Linked DNA regions of Caenorhabditis elegans. The protein of the gene in region 2 purifies or fractionates together with the protein of the main gene of each other region. This does not show direct contact. Each region holds a gene or a part of one and is shown on either strand. Other genes may lie near its edges. The genes, in order: nsun-5, snr-2, dnj-13 and snr-3.

Region 1 (7,705 bases), on a different chromosome or scaffold from region 2:
GATTTTTGATTGAAAATTTGATGAGAATCTTTGGAAACTGGAAAAAGTAATAAAAAATCGGAAAAAAAGTTTCACTTGAATTTTTCAAAATTTTACAAAAATTTTACCGGGTTTTCTGTTTATTTTTGGTATTTTCAGGTTAAAAACATTTGGGATTTTTTTTTCAATTTTTTCCATATTTTTATGAAATTTTTCAAAATTTTCCGGCATTTAAGATTTTTATTCGAATTATTTAAGATTTTTTAAAAAGGATTCTAACATTTTTTTTGGTTTTTTTTCAAATTTTTTTCGGATTTTTTTTGGAATTGTGCAAAAAAATTTTGGGTTTTTTAATTTTGAAAAAAATCTGGATTTTTTCTAATTTTTTCAAAATTTTCTGACTTCTCAGATTTTGCCTGATTTTTTCTGATTTTTTTTGGATTAAAAAAAATTTTTTTTCGATTTATTTTTGGCTTTTTCAGGGTAAAAAAATCGGATTTTTTCGAGTTTCACTTTAAAAAAATGTTTTCGAATTTTTTTCCGGGTTTTTCGGTTCATTTTCAATTTTTCACATTTTTAATAAAAACAATTCGGATTTTTACGAATTTTCTGAATTTGAGATTTTGTCGAATTTTTTTTCGATTTTTAGATACAAAATTGAATTTAAAAAAAAATATTTTTTCATGAAACTTGAAAGCTTCCAAATTTGAAGCTCGAATTTAATTTTTTAAAGCCAAATTTTTCGAATATTTTTTTCTGCAACAAACCTTTGAAAATTTCTTATCAGTGACGTCAGTTTTCAGAAAATCTCCACAAAATGAGCTGGCGATTGCGACTTTCGAGGCGTCAAGGAGCTGCTTCATAGTGGCTACACGGTCCGCCGCACGATCCATCGCCCATACTTTTCTGGAATTTTTTTTTGTGAAGTTTTAGATTTTGCAAAAAAAAATATTTTTCAGGTTTTTTTCTAGAAAATTTTGGATTTTTTTCAGATTTTTTTTTTGGAATTTTTCAAAATTTTCCGACTTTTCAGATTTTTGCGGTTTTCTTTATTTTTCCAGATTTTTTTATGGGGAAAAAATTTCAGGTACCCCTGATTCTCCATAATTGCCGCCGCATGGCTCGTCTTCATTCCAGGAGCTGCACACGTGTCGAATACTTGGGAGCCGGGACGTGGATTGAGCAGGAAGGCCGGGAGACATGAAGCCTGAAAATTTGAAAAATTTTATTGGAAATTTAGGAAACAGATAATTATTTTTTCTCTTTCTGATAATTTCGGAATTCTTCTTTTTTTTTCGAATTTGTTCAAACTTTTTAGATTTATTGGATTTTTTTTATAAATTGAAATTTATTAGTTTGTTTTACGAACTTTTTTCCGATCTTCTTCGAATTTTTTTTTGGATTTTCTCCGAATTGGTTTTAGATTTTTTCCGGAATTTTTGGGTTTTTTATCGAATTTTTCGGATTTTTTTCTCGAATTTTTCTCGAATTTTTTCCGGATTTTTTCAGATTTGTTAATTTTTTAAACGAAAATTTATCAGTTGTGTTCGAATTTGTTTGGTTTTTTTTTTTGGATTTTTTCTCGAATTTTTTCCGGATTTTTTCAATTTTTTTTTGATGTTTTTTCGGAATTTTCCGACTTTTCAGATTTTTTTTCTTGAATTTTTTCGGATTTTTAAATGGAAAAATTATTTCAAATAAAAAAAAATTCAAGTTTAATTTTGTATTTTTTATTCAAAAAATCTCTTTTTTTTTTGGGGAAATTATCAAGTTTTTCTATTACAAAATTCGAATTTTCGAGACAAAAATGTGATTTTTCTAGCTATTTGCAAAAAATTAATTTTTTTTAATTTGTGTAATCTTTTCCTAAAATTGTTTATTTAAAATTTAAAAATTCTGGTGTTTTTTCTGTGTAATTTGAAAATTTAATTTAATTTTTTTTTGTTTTTTAGATTAAAAATTACGTTTTTAAACATTTTTTTAAGCTTTTTATTCAGAATTTTACTGGAAAACTTAAATTTTTTCCATCAAAATTCACCTTATCCTGTAAAATCAAATATCTCTGCTCAACCATCCAATATTCATAAAAATTCTGAATATTCGGCGCAAAAATAATCAAATTCTCGACATGCGGATCCACATACACCTCATCATCCTTCATTTTTGTCACCATTTCCGCGAAATTCTCGGGTTTCAGTGTCCCGAGAATCTTCCATTTTTCGGTTTCGAGAGTCTTCATAGCTTCATCTGCAGTCCATTTCAGTGTATTGATACGCGCATATCGGGGGATTTGGATCTGCGAAAAAAAATGTTGAATTTAGTTTTAAAAATCAGTTTTTTTTCGAATTTTTTTTCAGTTAAAAAAAAAGTTCAAAAATTTTTTCCCGATTTTTTCGGATTTATTCCAATTTTTTCAGGTTTTCAATTTTTTCAACGGATTTTTTTCGAAATTTTTTCAGAATTTTTCAATTTTTAAATCGATTTTTTAAAGTTTTTTTTCGATTTTTTTTTCGGCTTTTTTTTAAAGGTTTTCAGATTTTTTTTCGGTTTTTTTTCGAATTTTTTTCAAAAAAAAAATTTTCCGAAATTTTTCGGATGTATTCAGAATTTTTTCCATCAAAATTCACCTTATCCTGTAAAATCAAATATCTCTGCTCAACCATCCAATATTCATAAAATTTCTGAATATTCGGCGCGAAAATAATCAAATTCTCGACATGCGGATCCACATACACCTCATCATCCTTCATTTTTGACACCATTTCCGCGAAATTTTCAGGTTTTAAATTTTTTTTTAATTTCGGATTTTTTTTTGGATTTTTTCCTATTTTTTCGATGTATTCCGGTTTTTTTTCAGGTTTTTTTTCGGATTTTTTTTCGATTTTTTTCCAAAAATTATTTTCCGTTTTTTTCAGATTTTTTCGGAATTTTTTTTCGAAATTTAATAGTTTTTTATTCGATTTATTCGAATTTTTGCAGATTTTCAGGCTTTTTCCGGTTTTTTTTTCGTTAAAAAAATTCTTTATAAAAAAGTTTGATTTTTTTTGGATGTATTCAGGTTTTTCAGGTTTTCAATTTTTTTTTTCTCGAAAATTCAGTCATTTTCAGCGAGAAATTCAAATTTTCAGTTAATTTAAACTGTTTATTCGATTTTTTCGAAATTCATTCAGATTTTCGGGGTTTTTCTCGAAATTTCAGTCAATTTCTAGCGGGAAATTTAAAATTTCCATCTCAAAGCACCTTTTTCATTCCATCGTCCGCTTCTTTCATCGCCTTAATTCCTCTTCCCTCGTCTTGCATCGCGTGCTCCACCTCCTTAATCCTCTGAATTCTCCTTGAAATTACAGATTTCAACTCCTGAGAGCATCTGGTCAATCCGGAGCCAACAAGTGTCTCATACATGAGCACATAGAGCAGCTCGACGGATCCACCGATATTCGCATCGCGTTTCATCGATTTTAGCTCCTTATCTTGTAGAATTTCATCGAAAACCGGCCGAAATTTGAGCGATTCACACGAAAGTCGGAGAAGCGCCTTTTTGTTCTGGAAAATTCAAAAAATTAGGTCAAGTTTAAAGGGACATGCTGTTTTATTCTCTTGGAACGCTGGTAGGCAAGCACGTCTCAGGCCTAGGTGCCTGCCTGTCGCCTAGGCTTTGAAGGCAGGCAGGTCGTACGCTTATCTGTTCGAAAAATTAGGTCAAGTTTAAAGGGACATGCGGTTTTCCTCGTGGTGGGTCTCGCAGCGACACTTGGAGTGTTTCTGTGGTAGGAACGTCTAGGCATAGGTGCCTGCCTGCCGCCTAGGCGCTGATATATATCACCTTGACCTACGCGCTTATGTTTAAAAAATTGGGACAAGTTTAAAGGAACACGCTCTGATTTCCCTTGCGGTGGGTCTCGCAACGACATTTGGAGTGATTTTGTGGTAGGCAGACACGCCTCAGGTGCCTGTCTGCCTATCAACTAGGCGTAGGCCGCCTTCAAAACAGGCAGGGGTTGTGCACGAAATGCTTAGACTTTTTCTTTAAAAAAGAACAATTTATTGCAGCAAGAATGTGGAAAATTGGACAAAATCGGCTCGAATTCGAAATTTTCAGAATAAAAATACTGAAAAATGGAGTAAAAACTAGAAAATTGGAGAGAAAAGTGAAATTTTAAAGAGAAAAATCGATTTTTTTGACCAAAAATGATAAAAATTCAACAGAAAATCAGATTTTTAGTGGGAAAATTCTGTAAAAACGGGAAAATCCGGGAAATTAAACTGAAATTCCATCATTTTTTAGCCAAAATTTGAACCTTTTTCACCAAAAAATTCGAAAAATCCAACGAAAAACCGGATTTTTAGTGGAAAATTCGATATCGATCAGTTTTTACTCGAAAAATAGTGAAAAATAGAATTTTTCGGACATTTTTGAGCCAAAATTTCTGAAATTTTGGACTTTTTCACCAAAAAAAAATTCGAAAAATCCAATTTTCAATGGGAAAATCGAATTTGATCAGTTTTTAGTAGAAAAATTGAATTTTCGCCTATTTTTGAGCCAAAATTTCACAAATTTTGCACCTTTTTCACCAAAAAAAAATTCGAAAAATCCAATTTTCAATTGGAAATTTGAAATTCGATCAGTTTTTACTAGAAAAATTGAATTTTTGCCTTTTTCGAGACAAAATTTCACAATTTTTAGTTATTTTTCACTGAAAAATGAGTTTTCGAGCCGATTTTCTAGATTAAAAACAACAATTTCAATAAAAAAAAAAACAAAAAAAAATCAATTAACAAGACTTCAAAAATTTGCCCTGAATCCACTGCCGGTACATTTTCACTTGTTTCGCTCGATTCACAATGAGCCGTCGATCCACGTGCATCACTTTCTTCTGAAGCCCGTGCTCGGCGAGCAGCGTCTCCAACTCTTCCATATCGAAGAAATAGACCAGGGTTCCGTCTCCTCGGCAGTACAAATTTCCGTCGATTAGTCGATCTTTTTTGAATCGCAACTGCGTTAAATCGTATCTCCCGTAGTCTTTGAGCAGCAGACTTCCACCGGGTTTGAGCAGCCGGACGAGATTTTTCAGAGCATTTTTGATATTATCCGGATGGATAGCCGACAGCACGTAGATACACACAATATAGTCTAGAGATCCGACGTTTGGAGCCTCCTGGGAAGCCGGTTGCGTGATATCCCACACAAATGCGTTCATTTTCTCCGGATCGTAGGCGTCCTGGGATTTCAGGACTCGAATCGCGTTTGGAGCATAATCACAGCTGTGCAGCATGAGCCGGGAGCTGGAATTGTTCACTTGGAGCAGTGGGAACGTGGTATTTCCGACGCCACAGCCAACTTCCAGTATTTCTATCTTTTCTTTCTGAAAATCAAGGTTTTTTTATGTTTTAATGTTTTTTTTTTGAATATTTAATGCTCAAATTACCTGTAAATTACCTGTAAATTACTCTCATCCTCCACATTAAGCTCTGGGAACTCTTTTAACAGCCAATTCCTGTCTTTGAAGAATCTATTCTCATTATGAGCATAAAAAGCATCCCATTGATCCGCTGGGGTGCTTAAAAGCCGCATCGCCTTCTCCTCATCAACCTTCATCGACTTTTGACCTTGCACAATCCGCTGAGCTTCTTCCTGTTGCTCTGGGGACCATTCCACGTCGTCCCATGCGTTGTGCTCGAAAACTTTGGTGTCATCGGTCAAAAATCGGGTTCCGAAGGGGTTGCATTTGGGTTTTTCGTCGGGATTCTCTTCGGCGCAGGCCATGATTGGCTCGTCTTTCATTTTATTACCTGTGAGAATTGGAAAATAATTTAAACAATGGATTTTGAGAGGTAGAAAACGAGATAAAACGGAAGAAAATCCAACAGCAAAAGAAGAAACAGAGCAAATAATAAAATATTGCTTTCCACGAATTGATTTTCCGTAAAACTGCTAAACTAACTTTATACGAACTCCCGTAGACCGCATTTCTCACACTTTTCTCCTTGGCCAAAACGCAGCGGATAATTTCGGCGACCTCGTTGTACAGCGCATCGGTTGCCATCTAAATTTGAATAGTTTTCGACAAAAAATATAATTTTTCAATAGTGGAAAGCAATATTTCAAGATGAAATTGAGAAAAAAAGCAAGAAACATTAGAAAAAAAGAATTAAAAATATTTTTTGCAATGGAGCGCACTTTCTCGTCTGCCTTTGCGCGTGATGGTGTTTGCGTCCAGAGCGGAAAAAATTGAAAATTTGATTTTTTAAATTTATTTTTTTTCTGATTTTTCGCATTTTAAAATGCATTTTCTATTGTTTTTCTTCAAATATTTGCTTAATTTTGAATATTTTTCAGATTTAAAACATGGCCTGGCGAAAGAAAACCAAGAAAGCCGCTCCGATCGCGCAAATGAGCGAGGAGGACGTGCGAGAAATCGAGGAGCACGTCGAAGAGCTCGTCCGATCGCAATTGCCACTGGGAAGAGTCAAAAAAGTGGTCAGAATGAATCCGGACGTCGAGATGCTCAACAATGAGGCACTGCAATTGATGGCGAAGGCGGCGGTGAGAGAAAATCGCATTTTTTCTTCGAATTTTCATTATATTTTTTTAATTTCCAGGAGCTCTTCATCAAGGAGCTGAGCAACGCGGCGAATCAGAACGCAGCGCTGGAAAAACGAAAAACCGTCCAGACGAAGGACATTGGTTGGTGGAAAAAACTCAAATTTCAGCTAATAAAATCGATTTTTTGCAGATAAAGCTATCAAGAAGACGTGGGCCTTCGCTTTCCTGGAAGATGCTCTGGATGGGTGGCCGAAGTTGGAGCCAAAGAAGCGAAAAGTGAATGCGAATTCCGGTCAGGATGAGACGGTTGTAGAGGAGGAAACGATTATCGAGGAAGAAGAGGAGATCCACGTGGAAGAAGAAGAAGATGAAGAGCTTCCGGAGACCGTTCTCGAAATCGATGAAAATGAAGAAATCGCGAGAGATAAATTTGCCGAGCAATTTTGATTTTATATATTTTTGTATTTAGTTTTGATTTTTTTCTCTTTATTTGAATAAATTTACTTACATCAACGATTTATTCTTCTTCGTCTAGTCACTTTTTTTTCAGGGAAAATAAATTTTCAGGAAGGTCCTTCGGAATTAGAAATGGACAGCAATTTTTGATTTTTTTTTTCGCCAAAAATACGGTATCGGGTCTCGACGCGACAAATTTTTGAAAAATATGTGCGCCTTTAAAGAGTACTGTAGTTTCAAACTTTCGTCGCTGTTGAATTTTAATCGATTTTTAAAAAAGTTTTCTTTGATTTATAATTATGATATATTCATGAGTTAAAAATATATTTATTCATATTAATCCTGAAAATATGAAAAAATCAATAAAACTCCAAAGCAATAAAAGTTTGAATATACAGTACTATTTAAAGGCACACACCCTTTTGCATTTAACAAAAATGTATTTATTTATCGTGTTGAGACCGGTTTCGCGTGTAATTTGGAAATGACTCAATTTTTTTAAGTAAAAAATTTTTTTTTTAAGTAACGAAAATACTTTTAAAAAACATGCGAAATCATTTGAATTTACGGTTTTGCCGCAAATACCTAACGAGACCCAACAATTAGGGGCTTTTAACATTTGTTTCCGTTTTAAAAAAAATATTTTCATAGAACTTGCTTACTTTTCAAAATAGATGTAGGAAAATTCATAGGATGCGTACAATTTTGCCGATTAAAATTGAAATT
Region 2 (3,221 bases):
GACGTTGAACCTGAAATTCAAGTTTTTTTTTAAATTTTTCAAAATAAAAAATCTCAGTACCTCTGCACTTTTGCGCATGTAACTTCCTTCCAGCACTGTCAGTTTCGACTTGTACTCATCGACCAGAGCTTTTCTGAAATTTGAGTTGTATCGGGTCTCGACACGATCAAAACTTTTATGTAAAGAGTGTGCGCCTATAAGGGGTACTGTAGTTTTTAATCCGTTTTTTTTTTAAATTTTGATACACCATTAAAGGCGCACGCGATCGTGGCGAGACCCGGAAAAAATTCAAAACTACCTTTGTTGCAATTGTGCATCCAAAGTGATTTTCAGCTGTTTTGCCTGAGTTATATTAGATTCAAGCAGTGCTGTGTCACTTTTCGTCAGGTTTAGAATCGCTGAAATTTTCGCAAATTTAAAATTAAAAAAAACGAAGCAAACGCGCTCTATTACACTTAAGCTGATCCACACGATCCGAACCAATCACTGAAGACGCGTCGAGAGCCGTATGAAAATCGGTTGCCGTCTTTGAAATCTCCACTGCCGACTCGATTTTCATGATGGTTGTGCCGAGATCCAGGGAGATGGATTGGACATTTTCCGGAGAATCGAAGAGTTTCTGTAGGGAAAAATTACTTTCTTTTTTTTTGTAAAGTTTTTAATTCAAGCTGAAATTCAGCTGAAAATCGAGAATCTTTCAGTTTTTTTGCTTAATTGCAATTTGAATTTGCGCGTTTTTGTCAAATGCAAGCGCGCTCCATCGAACAACGCTCTCACAAAAAACGCGGAAATTCAAATCGGAATTTAGCGAAAACTGACAGCTTTTCGGTTTTCAACTTGAAATATCATCTTTTCTGAAGGTTTTCGAAAAGTTTTACTTTATTTTTTTTATATGATATTCAATTATTGTACGAAAATAAAACCAACTTTCGGGTCGAAATCTCCACATTCTGGAATTGATGCAGCTTGAAGCACGATTTCATGTCTCGGTCGGAACTTGTTCTGATAAAGTGTGATACACACTTCAATCGGCTCATCGTCACGCAAAACAGCCTGATTTGGGGTTATGAAATATCGAGTTGGAGCATTTGTCTTGAAAAAATTCAGATATTCCAGAGGCTGCTCACACCTGAGCTTAAATACCAGAAATCTCCAATAAATTGGTCCAACACCAGCTAAACTATTCAATTTCAACTTTTGACACGCATTTTTTGGTTGATCAATATCGAAACACACGAATGTCTGAATAAAATTACCGGATAATTCAAGAAATTTTCGAAAATTCTCACTTGATCCAACACGACATACAACTTATGACCGTTAGACTGCTCCATTCACCACTCTTCGATTGGACTAATATTCGAAATAATCGATTTTTGCATTTTTTATACCCCTCCCCTCACCTTCTCTTCCCCAATTTCTGCTTTCCGTGGGGTCACGCCTTTTTTATTTGAACTGCCGCGCAAATCGATTTAAAGGCGCACGCATTTATACGAATGGGTCTCGTTGCGGCGTCTCTAGATTTTCGAATTATTCTCCAGCAGTTTTGGCTGATTTTCAGCTTGTTTTGTCGGTTTTCAGTTGATTTTTAAGATTTTCTTTCGAAAAAATTGAAAAATTAGTGAATTTAAAGGTTCTTCATCGCTTAAAATTTCAATCAATTTCAAAACCTTGATTTCTCGCCGGTATTTATGTAATTTCAAACGATCGGTTTTCAAACGGTTCTTGTGACTTTTAGAAGTTGTTTTGCAGAAATATTCGTTTGTTTCATCTCTTGTATCATCAGAACTCTTTAATTTCTTTCATTTTGAAAGAGTAAAACTTCAATATTCTTATTTCCAGGTCCTAGACAAAAAATCACAACCAACGCCTCAAGATGGTAAGTTTTTCTACAGTTCTCATGGAGATAAATACAAAATATTTTCTTTTCAGACTATCTCCAAGAATAATAAGATGATGGCTCATCTCAACTACAGGATGAAGATCATCCTTCAGGACGGTAGAACCTTCATCGGATTTTTCAAGGCTTTCGACAAGCATATGAACATTTTACTCGCAGAGTGCGAGGAACACAGACAAATCAAGCCAAAGGCCGGAAAGAAGGTATTGTTTTCTGTTTCTGCAGCGTTGATTGAAGACAAAAACCATTTTATTTTCAGACCGATGGAGAAGAAAAGCGAATTCTCGGCCTCGTACTGGTCCGCGGAGAACATATCGTCTCGATGACCGTCGACGGACCACCACCAAGAGATGACGATTCAGTGAGACTCGCCAAGGCCGGAGGAGCTGGAGGTGTCGGACAAGCCAAGCCAGGAGGCCGTGGAATGCCAGCTATGCCAGGAATGCCGGGAATGCCACCAGGCGGAGCACCAGGAGGCCTCTCTGGAGCCATGCGCGGACACGGAGGACCAGGAATGGCAGCCATGCAGCCAGGATATGGCGGCCCACCAGGAGGACGTCCATTCTAAAATTTTGCTATCCAAATCCGCATGTTTCTATCATTTTTCCCACCGATCTTGTATTTTTCTCTGTTCTTTTCATTTTTTGTGGTAGAAATACCTTTAATTATATATTTAATTTATCGATACTCTCTCGGGTGATCGAGATCTTCCCATCACCCACCAATCTTCGTAAGCTGTTCAGAATCTGGAATAAACTTTTTGAATTTTGAGAGATTCAGTAGGCTAGGTTTTTGATAGCTCAATGGTTTTAAACCCAGAATTCTCTATCTTCTAAATTCTCATCTTTTTTTTATTGTAAAACACTTAAAAGTCGTCAGGGAACCATCAAAAAGATGCCTCCAAAGAAGAACGTCGTCGAGGAGAAGCCCGCGTTGATCGGACGTCTTGGTACCAACCTTAAAGTCGGAATTCTGGGTCTTCCGAACGTTGGAAAGTCGACATTCTTCAATGTGCTCACCAAATCCGAAGCACAGGCTGAAAACTTCCCGTTCTGCACCATCGATCCGAATGAGAGCAGAGTACGTTCTTCTGGAAAATTCCAGCGGAATCCTCTGATTTTAAGCCTTTCCAATCGTGCGAAGTCCTTTGATTTTCGGTGTAATACACGCGGAAAACTGATTTTTGCAAAATTTTACAGTTTTCACTGGATTTTTGGACTATTTATTTAATTATTTAACATTTAAAATAGCCCCAAGAGCTGTTTTACATAGATTTTTGCTTGAAATATTATCAATTGAAAAAAAAAGTTAGCTTCTTACA
Region 3 (4,153 bases), on a different chromosome or scaffold from region 2:
CAAGTTTGAGAATAATTTTTTGGGTGTAGTCGAATTTAGACGATATGTAAAAACGATACATCACAAAAATTTCGTTAACGTGAGTTATGGCTTCGAAATAGCGAATAATTCTAAATTTTTTGAACTTCGCGCGCGAACGAGCGCCCTCTGCGTGTACTCCTCTCGGACAATCATATAATTAATATGTTGATTATTGTTTTCGGCTAATTTTAGGTGATTGTTGCGGTTTTTATTGTATTTTTACAGCAGTCTTAATTAAATTCGACTACACCAGCCTTAAATATTAACTGAAACATTAATTACCTCTACTTGCAATCTTGCCAATTGACGTGAATCCTCTGGTCAGCATTTTTGCCGCTGCAAACTGGTAAAGAATGATGATGGTGTGCCCTCATCTCCTTTCTTTCAACGCCCGATATCATCTTTTACCCCCACGTGGCCAAGGACAAGACAATCGATACGATGAGGAGACAGATCAACTGAACACACGAAAATCACAAAACTTTCTTTTGCTTTAATTTAAAAGTTTATTTATCGGAAATGTTGATAAGGAAGCACGAATTAAAATTGAAAGAGGGGGCGGTTGAGGGGGGATACAATTACACCGAGTATCTTGTCAATGAAGGTTTTCATGTCATTAGAATGAGACTTGATAAACGATAAAAAATGCATCTGAATAACTATGGGCAATATGTGTGAGATGGGTAATTAACAATGAAACATGGGTGATAAAAAGAACAACATCCTAATAAAAAATCTCTTAAATACCCGCTTGAAAACATCGAACAAGGCGACTGAATACTGCTAAATCGAATCCAATGGCAATCAAGAGTGATTGTTTACCCGTCTTGGTTCGACTGTAGTTGATTGATAAGCAAGAGAGGGAAAATTGAAAAATGCGATTAGAAGTTCCTCAGAATCACTTCCCGTTGAGTTGGATTGAGTTGTGATGGGAATTCCACGTCAAACTCAATGATTAAATCTCCTCTGTGAGATGGAGACTTTGGATTTGGAAGTCCTTTTCCAGTCAGCCTGAAAGAATTAAAATTAATAATTTACTTCTCGTGAATCTCAAAATTTTTAACCTACCGTCTTGTAGTTCCCGGCTTAATGACATCGTTCAATTGAAGACGGTAGTCTGCTCCATCCAACGTTGGAATCATAATATCAAGGCCAGTCAATGCAGACTTCAGGGAGATCTTTTCGACGCGTTTGATGTCAGATCCCTCTCGCTTGAATTTCGGGTGTGGCTTATCCTTGATGACGAAGACTATGTCGGCGGGAGTTCTGTTCGGGTGCTGATCACCTTCTTTTGGGAATGTGATCTTTGTGCCTGACTTCCATCCTGGTTTAATAGTGACCGTCAAAACTTTGTCTTCTAGGCGTTGAGCATTGTCCGTCATAACTTTTCTTGTAATCTTCATCTTCTTCGTTGTACCTTTCAGTACATCCTCCAAACTGACAGAAAGATCATGGAGCACAGCAGGATCTTGACGAGCATGTCCACGTCTTCCACCTTGATGCATGCCGCCGAACATACCGTCATCCATACCACCTTGATTCATGAAGAACATATTCGGGCCTCCGGCTCCACCACCAAGATCAAACATTCCAGGTCCACCAGCACCGAACGGATCGGATCCTCCAAAGAATGATGAGAAAATGTTCATTGGGTCTCCACGGAATTCGTAGTGCATTCCACCGCCGCCACCACCTCCGGCTCCTGGTCCACCTTCCTTTAGTCCTTCCTCTCCGAATTGATCGTAAATCTTCTTTTTCTTATCATCGGAAAGAACATCGTAAGCTTCGGCAATTTCCTGTAATTAAAAAAAATATTATTTCAGGTTAACATCAATAAATTCCCAGAAAAACTGCAATTTTACTGGGATTTTCTATATTTTGATTAAAATCGTTTTTAAATCGAGTGCTTAAAAATAACAACTTGGTCATGAAAAGTACAGTATCCTTCACCGAGGACCAAAAACTTTTTTTTAAATTAGAAAACTAAATTTTAAAAAATACCTTGAATTTGTTCTCAGCTCCAGCTTCCTTATTCTTATCCGGATGGTATTTCAAAGCCATTTTACGATAAGCCTTTTTGATTTCATCGTCTGTTGCACCTTTGCTGATGCCCAGCACTTTGTAGTAGTCTTTTCCCATTGTGGAAAGTAATCTGAAAAGAAATCATATGAATTTTTGAAATATTAACCAGTAACAGGTTAACGGAATAAATGAAGCAACAGATAGATAAAAAGAATACACCCGGCAGAATAAATATGGGTCAACATCAGAAGAGGAAACACGGAGAAATGGAAGAGAGAGTGCGCCGAATCATGAGAGAGAAGAGTGCGGAACTTTCCAGAGCGTTCTATTTACTCGCGAAGCGCAGTGCATGTTCGATCTTCCGTCGGCCGGTGGAGCGCACATGCATCACTCGTTTTTTTTATTGAAAATACATTGGTTTCGCAAGATAAAAATGAGGAATGAATAAAAGCATGAGCACGATACAAAGAAAAGAATGAGCAAGAGATAAGAAATTGTGCTTTTTGGTATTTATTTTCTGAAAAAAGAATATTCTGGAAGGCGAAGTTTCGTCACGAAAAAATATGTTTGTTGGAAAGAATGATTTACGTACACTAGGAAGAAAAGTTATGCTTAAAATTCACTTGCTTATTTAAAAATTGATTATTTAAAACCTGAATTGTTAAAATTTAAATTATTCGAAGAGAAAATAAAGAGAAAAAATTGTTTCCATGAAATTAGTTTTGTTCTCGTGTATAAACAGCAATCAGATATTATTTTTAGAAAAGATTTTTAGAAAAAACTTTAATAAAACTGTATTGAATTAAACAATTTTAAAAATCAAGCCTCTATCCATAATCCAGAAGGCCTCCTGAACTCTGCGCTCGAAAACCCCTAGGCGCGCCGAAAAAAAATAAATAATGCGAAGAGTACTGTATCAAAGGGACATCAACGGCGCACAGTATGGTCCTGCCACGGAGACATATTTCTGTTTTCCTAAACAAGTTTGTGCGAACCTCCATGCTTTTTCACCGGTCCCAAAGTATTTTCCTCTGATTTTAAAGTATTTTTCGTATAAAAATGTTTCGGCGAACCGAGCCACCGTTCCGATTGTTGGCTAGAAAGCGAAGAAATTCCGATTCGACGCCCCCAATCACGAAGTTCTTTGCAACAGTAAAACGGGAACGTTCAAGCTCTGAATCGAAAAACGTATGCCAGAAGTTGGACGGTACGACAATTTTTCTTTTAATTTAAAATTAATTTTCTTGATTTTCAGAAAGTTTCGAAGCTCCCAACAACTTATCTCAAACCTCTCATACCGATTCACCAGACAATGGGCTTTTGTACTCCTTGGAGGATTTGCGAGCACTTTTAGGTGTTCCTGTCAAATTTTCCTCGAAATGTGTGCCATCTCCAGATGCACCAGTGGGCTTGGAAAACCTGCCGAATAGAGCCTATTCGCATATTTTCACAATTCTTGACAGTTAGTTGTGAAGTACTGATCAGAAATTTTAACATTCACATTTTTCAGTGCAATCCATTAATGCGCTTTCACTGACATCCACAAAGTTGTGCTCACGAGTCAAAACCTACGTTTCAACCCACGATTTTTTCCGTCGAATGCAATTGGATAATCTTGACTTTCTCAATAGCTCACTCCGCCCCGACGATGAAGAATTCTTAGAGAATGATCCTTTCACTGCATGTGGTTAGTGTTGCAATATTTTTATTTTCGTTTATAAATCTAAATGTATTTTAACAGGTGGCCTCATCAAATCCATCACGATCACAATGAACACAAAGATCCGCGCTCAAGTCTTCCTGAACATCTGCCGGAATTTGCGTGATCAACTCGGAGGCTCCCTTCATGGTTTTGGAAGACTCCTGGAAACGATAACGCACAATTGGAAGTTCTCTGAACGTCGTATAATGGTAAAAGCTGCAATCATGATCGACGCTGATCTCCGTCCTTCGATTATCAAGGTTCTTACTGCTAAACCGGGCCAGTTGATAGGTCTCGAGATGAAAGTTCGTTCCGGGTTGACCCAACTCTTCCTCAACTTGAGTCAAGACATCGATGAAGCTTCTCCACAGGAGATTATCGAGTTTGGCTCCTGGTTGTCTGTTCTGA
Region 4 (3,189 bases), on a different chromosome or scaffold from region 2:
TATGATTGGACTTGGAATTAGCTTCTCCAGAATCACTGATAATAAGCATCATTGGAGCGATGTTCTTGTCGGAATTTTCATTGGAATATTCTTGGCTGTTTACACTGTAATATTATTATGAGTGTTTGGGAACTTTCGCATTTTTTCTGCTTTCAGTGTACCTTCTGGACAGATTTGTTCTCAAACAATTCAACTGAATCTGAAACACAACCTCTTCTGCTTCCTCGACCACCCCGTACTCCCAGAAACTCTGAAGGTTGGTCCATCGTAAATTTTAACTCAATTACATATTTTTTTCCAGATGAGGAGCGACATCGATTGGATGCAGTTTTACCTTCTACGGATAGTTCTATTGTTTTTGAAGCTACTGGACCGCAGGACTCGGATACAATTTTGTTGCCGGTTCCGCAAAGTGCATAATGCAATTTTCTTGTTTTTATTCGAATTTTTTGTTTTAAATATAAATAATTTTTGCCCTTATGTTGTTGCTCTTAATGCTTGAATTGAAGAAATTTATAGAGATCAGAACGTAACAACAAAATAAAGTACAGTTGTTCTCACGGGCTGCGAAACTTGGGAAATTTGTGTTGACTCGGAAAGCCGTAATAAATTATTTCAAAAGATTTAAACAAAAGTCAGCAACTTTAACGGGAACAAAATGTGAATTAAACTTGAGGAACGTGATACAAAAGTATAGGACGTTCGATACTCAAATTTGCTATGACCCGATGATAGCTTAACGACGTGGACCGCCTCCGCGTGGTCCTCCGCGTCCGCGACCACGACCTCCTCTTCCTCCGCGCATTCCACCACGACCACGTCCACGTGAAGCTGAAATAAAAATATTAATAATCTGTCGAAAAGACGCTTAAAGCTACCTCCGGCGCGAGCGGCACGGGCCTTCTTTCTTGGTTCATCGTCGATTAAAAGGGTGTCAAGAGCGAGTGGATCCGGCAAAATGATGTATCTGATGTTGTTACCTGAAAATCTTAAATTATATTTATTCAAATATGATTTTTAATAACCTCTGATTGAAAGCGTGTCGAGTTTGACTGGCTCCTTGTTCTTAACTGTCATTGAGACGGCACGAAGATGTGTGTTCATCGCAACATCGACTCCCATGATAGTGCCTAAATAAAATCGATTTAGTTGTTTAGTTACGTTTTTGCAGTAATTAAAATTATACAATATTATTCGGATTTATGACTTTGAAAATGTATCCTAATATAAAAACACTATAACAAATGTCGAGCAATTCGTGAAAGATTGATTTTGGTTGGTTAATAACTCAACTTCTCGATTAAAACACTTTCAAGCAGACAATTAATCTTAAAAAATACTCACCGGACACCTGAGTACCGTTCTTCAATTCAATATTGACGGTCTCGTGAGACAACTTCATCAGGAATCTGACCAACTTCATTTTTCTACCTGAAATACATACAATTATAGAAGAATAAAAGGAAACGATGGAATTCAATAGAAAATACGACGATAAAAATAACTTTTAACTGATAAGAAAGAGGTTATGACAAATAAAAACATCTGCATCAAGGAAAAATGTTTCAAAACAGATTTCCAGTGACTGGAATCCAGTCATTTTGAGCACATTCGAAAATGCAAAAGACTTGGCGGCATGCCAAGTGGTCTCGCAACGACTAGGAGTACGGTCGCACTCGTTTTCATGTGTGCGCTTTTGATAGAATTTCTTTTTCTTGACTTAGGACTTTCTCTTCTTAAAATTGAGATTGATTTCTCGAATTCATGTGTTTTTTTTACTGGGCTTAATGAACGGCGTTTAATAAATTAATTTTTGAATATAAAGTGATTTTCCAGAAATGCCGCGCCTCTATCTAGGAAAAATTCCATACAATGCACGCGAACGCGACGTTGAGCGATTCTTAAAAGGATATGGCAAAATTAATAACATCTCAATGAAGTATGGATTTGCCTTTGTCGATTTTGAAGATTCTCGTGATGCTGAAGACGCATGCCATGATTTGGATGGAAAAACCATGGAAGGAAGGTAATAAAATAATAAACCAAAATTAAAAATGTTCTAACTTTTTATTTTCAGCTCTATGCGCCTTGTCGTGGAAATGGCTCGCGGAAAACCACGCGGCAATGACCGTCATGGATCGAGATCACCACGACGACGTTCCCGCTCTCCTAGACGTCGTTCACGTACTCCACCAAGAAGACGTTCCCGCTCTCGTGATCGCAAACGTTCTCGCAGATCCCGTTCCAGAAGCTCCTCCAGATCCAGATCACCAGTTCGTGAAAGTCGTCGCAGAAGCGAATCCCGTTCGCCGAGCCCGAAAAGAGACTTGTAAGTTAACTTTAATGTGTGGATTGTTTTGGAAGGGTGCCACATCACGAACCGTTTTAGCCACAGTTCAATGAGAAATCAATATCACCTACAAGCCCACATCGCAATGGCATACACATAGCTGAGACAGTTCGAGCACAGTATGGGTCAACTATCAATACATTTCAATTCACTTCTCGTTCAGTCCCCACAGTTACCAAAAGCCGCTGTTTCGATTAAAAGAGTGAGATCCCTAACTTTGAATCAGACAACTTCGCGCAAACATATCGGTTTCGTATTCGAGTCCTTTAGATTCCGACTCTATTAAATGCAAGAATTATATTTTAGGAAGCGTGAAGCGTCGAGATCTCGTTCACCACTGCCAGCAAAAGATCGAAGCAGAACCCGAAGTGGATCTCCCCCAAAGGTAATTCATTTATGTGCTTGTATAGTAAAAATCATATGGTTTCAGAACGGCGGAGATAGAAAGCGCAGCGTGAGCCGTGGAAGAAGTCACAGCCGAGATGGCAGCAATCGCAGTGTGTCTCGCTCTCCGTCTCCAGGATCTCCAAAGGATTAAAATTGTGTTTTTATACCGTTTACTGTTGTTCATTTACCACTTCTATTTTATAATATTTGTTCATCCTCAGAGCTGTTCTGATTTTAATAATTCCCGAATAAAACCGAGCGGAGACTTCCTTCATTTTTTAAAAATATTTAAAGGCACATGGTATTATTCACACAGGTCTCACCACGATTACTTCAACTACTGTACAATATTGGGGAATTTGAAGGTCGAACGCAATTTTGGGCTAATTTACTGCTTTGTTATTTTTACTGTTCTGGAAATTGCCGTTGTACTTTTTATAGTCATTATTATT

The links.
Region 1: the proteins of snr-2 (region 2) and nsun-5 fractionate together in Caenorhabditis elegans (co-fractionation; one large-scale study listed by BioGRID). This does not show direct contact.
Region 3: the proteins of snr-2 (region 2) and dnj-13 fractionate together in Caenorhabditis elegans (co-fractionation; one large-scale study listed by BioGRID). This does not show direct contact.
Region 4: the proteins of snr-2 (region 2) and snr-3 fractionate together in Caenorhabditis elegans (co-fractionation; one large-scale study listed by BioGRID). This does not show direct contact.

What each region holds. Positions count from the first base shown.
Region 1 is NC_003280.10:14,967,966-14,975,670, reverse strand, and holds the start of nsun-5 (26S rRNA (cytosine-C(5))-methyltransferase nsun-5), read right to left. Parts: upstream 6,024-7,705; coding exon 5,922-6,023; intron 5,772-5,921; exon of another isoform or gene 5,762-5,771; coding exon of another isoform or gene 5,417-5,761; intron 5,343-5,416; coding exon of another isoform or gene 4,752-5,342; exon of another isoform or gene 4,014-4,751; intron 3,523-4,013; coding exon 3,220-3,522; intron 2,276-3,219; coding exon 2,018-2,275; intron 1,187-2,017; coding exon 1,071-1,186; intron 886-1,070; coding exon 747-885; intron 1-746. Other genes in the region: metl-2 (tRNA N(3)-methylcytidine methyltransferase), read right to left, coding at 4,752-5,342, 5,417-5,761; pole-4 (Transcription factor CBF/NF-Y/archaeal histone domain-containing protein), read left to right, coding at 6,326-6,523, 6,580-6,664, 6,714-6,970. UniProt on the Caenorhabditis elegans protein: S-adenosyl-L-methionine-dependent methyltransferase which methylates the carbon-5 position of cytosine 2381 to 5-methylcytosine (m5C2381) in 26S rRNA.
Region 2 is NC_003279.8:13,337,555-13,340,775, forward strand, and holds snr-2 (putative small nuclear ribonucleoprotein-associated protein B), read left to right. Parts: upstream 1-1,842; 5' UTR 1,843-1,876; coding exon 1,877-1,879; intron 1,880-1,932; coding exon 1,933-2,103; intron 2,104-2,159; coding exon 2,160-2,468; 3' UTR 2,469-2,670; downstream 2,671-3,221. Other genes in the region: W08E3.4 (Major sperm protein), read right to left, coding at 1-10, 61-133, 299-398, 454-619, 928-1,242, 1,290-1,334; ola-1 (Obg-like ATPase 1), read left to right, coding at 2,795-2,980. UniProt on the Caenorhabditis elegans protein: Plays a role in pre-mRNA splicing as a core component of the spliceosomal U1, U2, U4 and U5 small nuclear ribonucleoproteins (snRNPs), the building blocks of the spliceosome.
Region 3 is NC_003280.10:11,543,721-11,547,873, reverse strand, and holds dnj-13 (DnaJ homolog subfamily B member 13), read right to left. Parts: upstream 2,174-4,153; 5' UTR 2,161-2,173; coding exon 2,023-2,160; intron 1,818-2,022; coding exon 1,090-1,817; intron 1,033-1,089; coding exon 903-1,032; 3' UTR 514-902; downstream 1-513. Other genes in the region: F54D5.7 (putative glutaryl-CoA dehydrogenase, mitochondrial), read right to left, coding at 304-349; F54D5.9 (F-box domain-containing protein), read left to right, coding at 3,103-3,250, 3,299-3,505, 3,554-3,730, 3,785-4,153.
Region 4 is NC_003280.10:6,488,331-6,491,519, forward strand, and holds snr-3 (putative small nuclear ribonucleoprotein Sm D1), read right to left. Parts: upstream 1,432-3,189; 5' UTR 1,424-1,431; coding exon 1,345-1,423; intron 1,131-1,344; coding exon 1,026-1,130; intron 981-1,025; coding exon 879-980; intron 832-878; coding exon 737-831; 3' UTR 501-736; downstream 1-500. Other genes in the region: plpp-1.2 (Phosphatidic acid phosphatase type 2/haloperoxidase domain-containing protein), read left to right, coding at 1-106, 157-256, 302-420; rsp-5 (putative splicing factor, arginine/serine-rich 5), read left to right, coding at 1,839-2,026, 2,078-2,329, 2,657-2,735, 2,781-2,888. UniProt on the Caenorhabditis elegans protein: Plays a role in pre-mRNA splicing as a core component of the spliceosomal U1, U2, U4 and U5 small nuclear ribonucleoproteins (snRNPs), the building blocks of the spliceosome.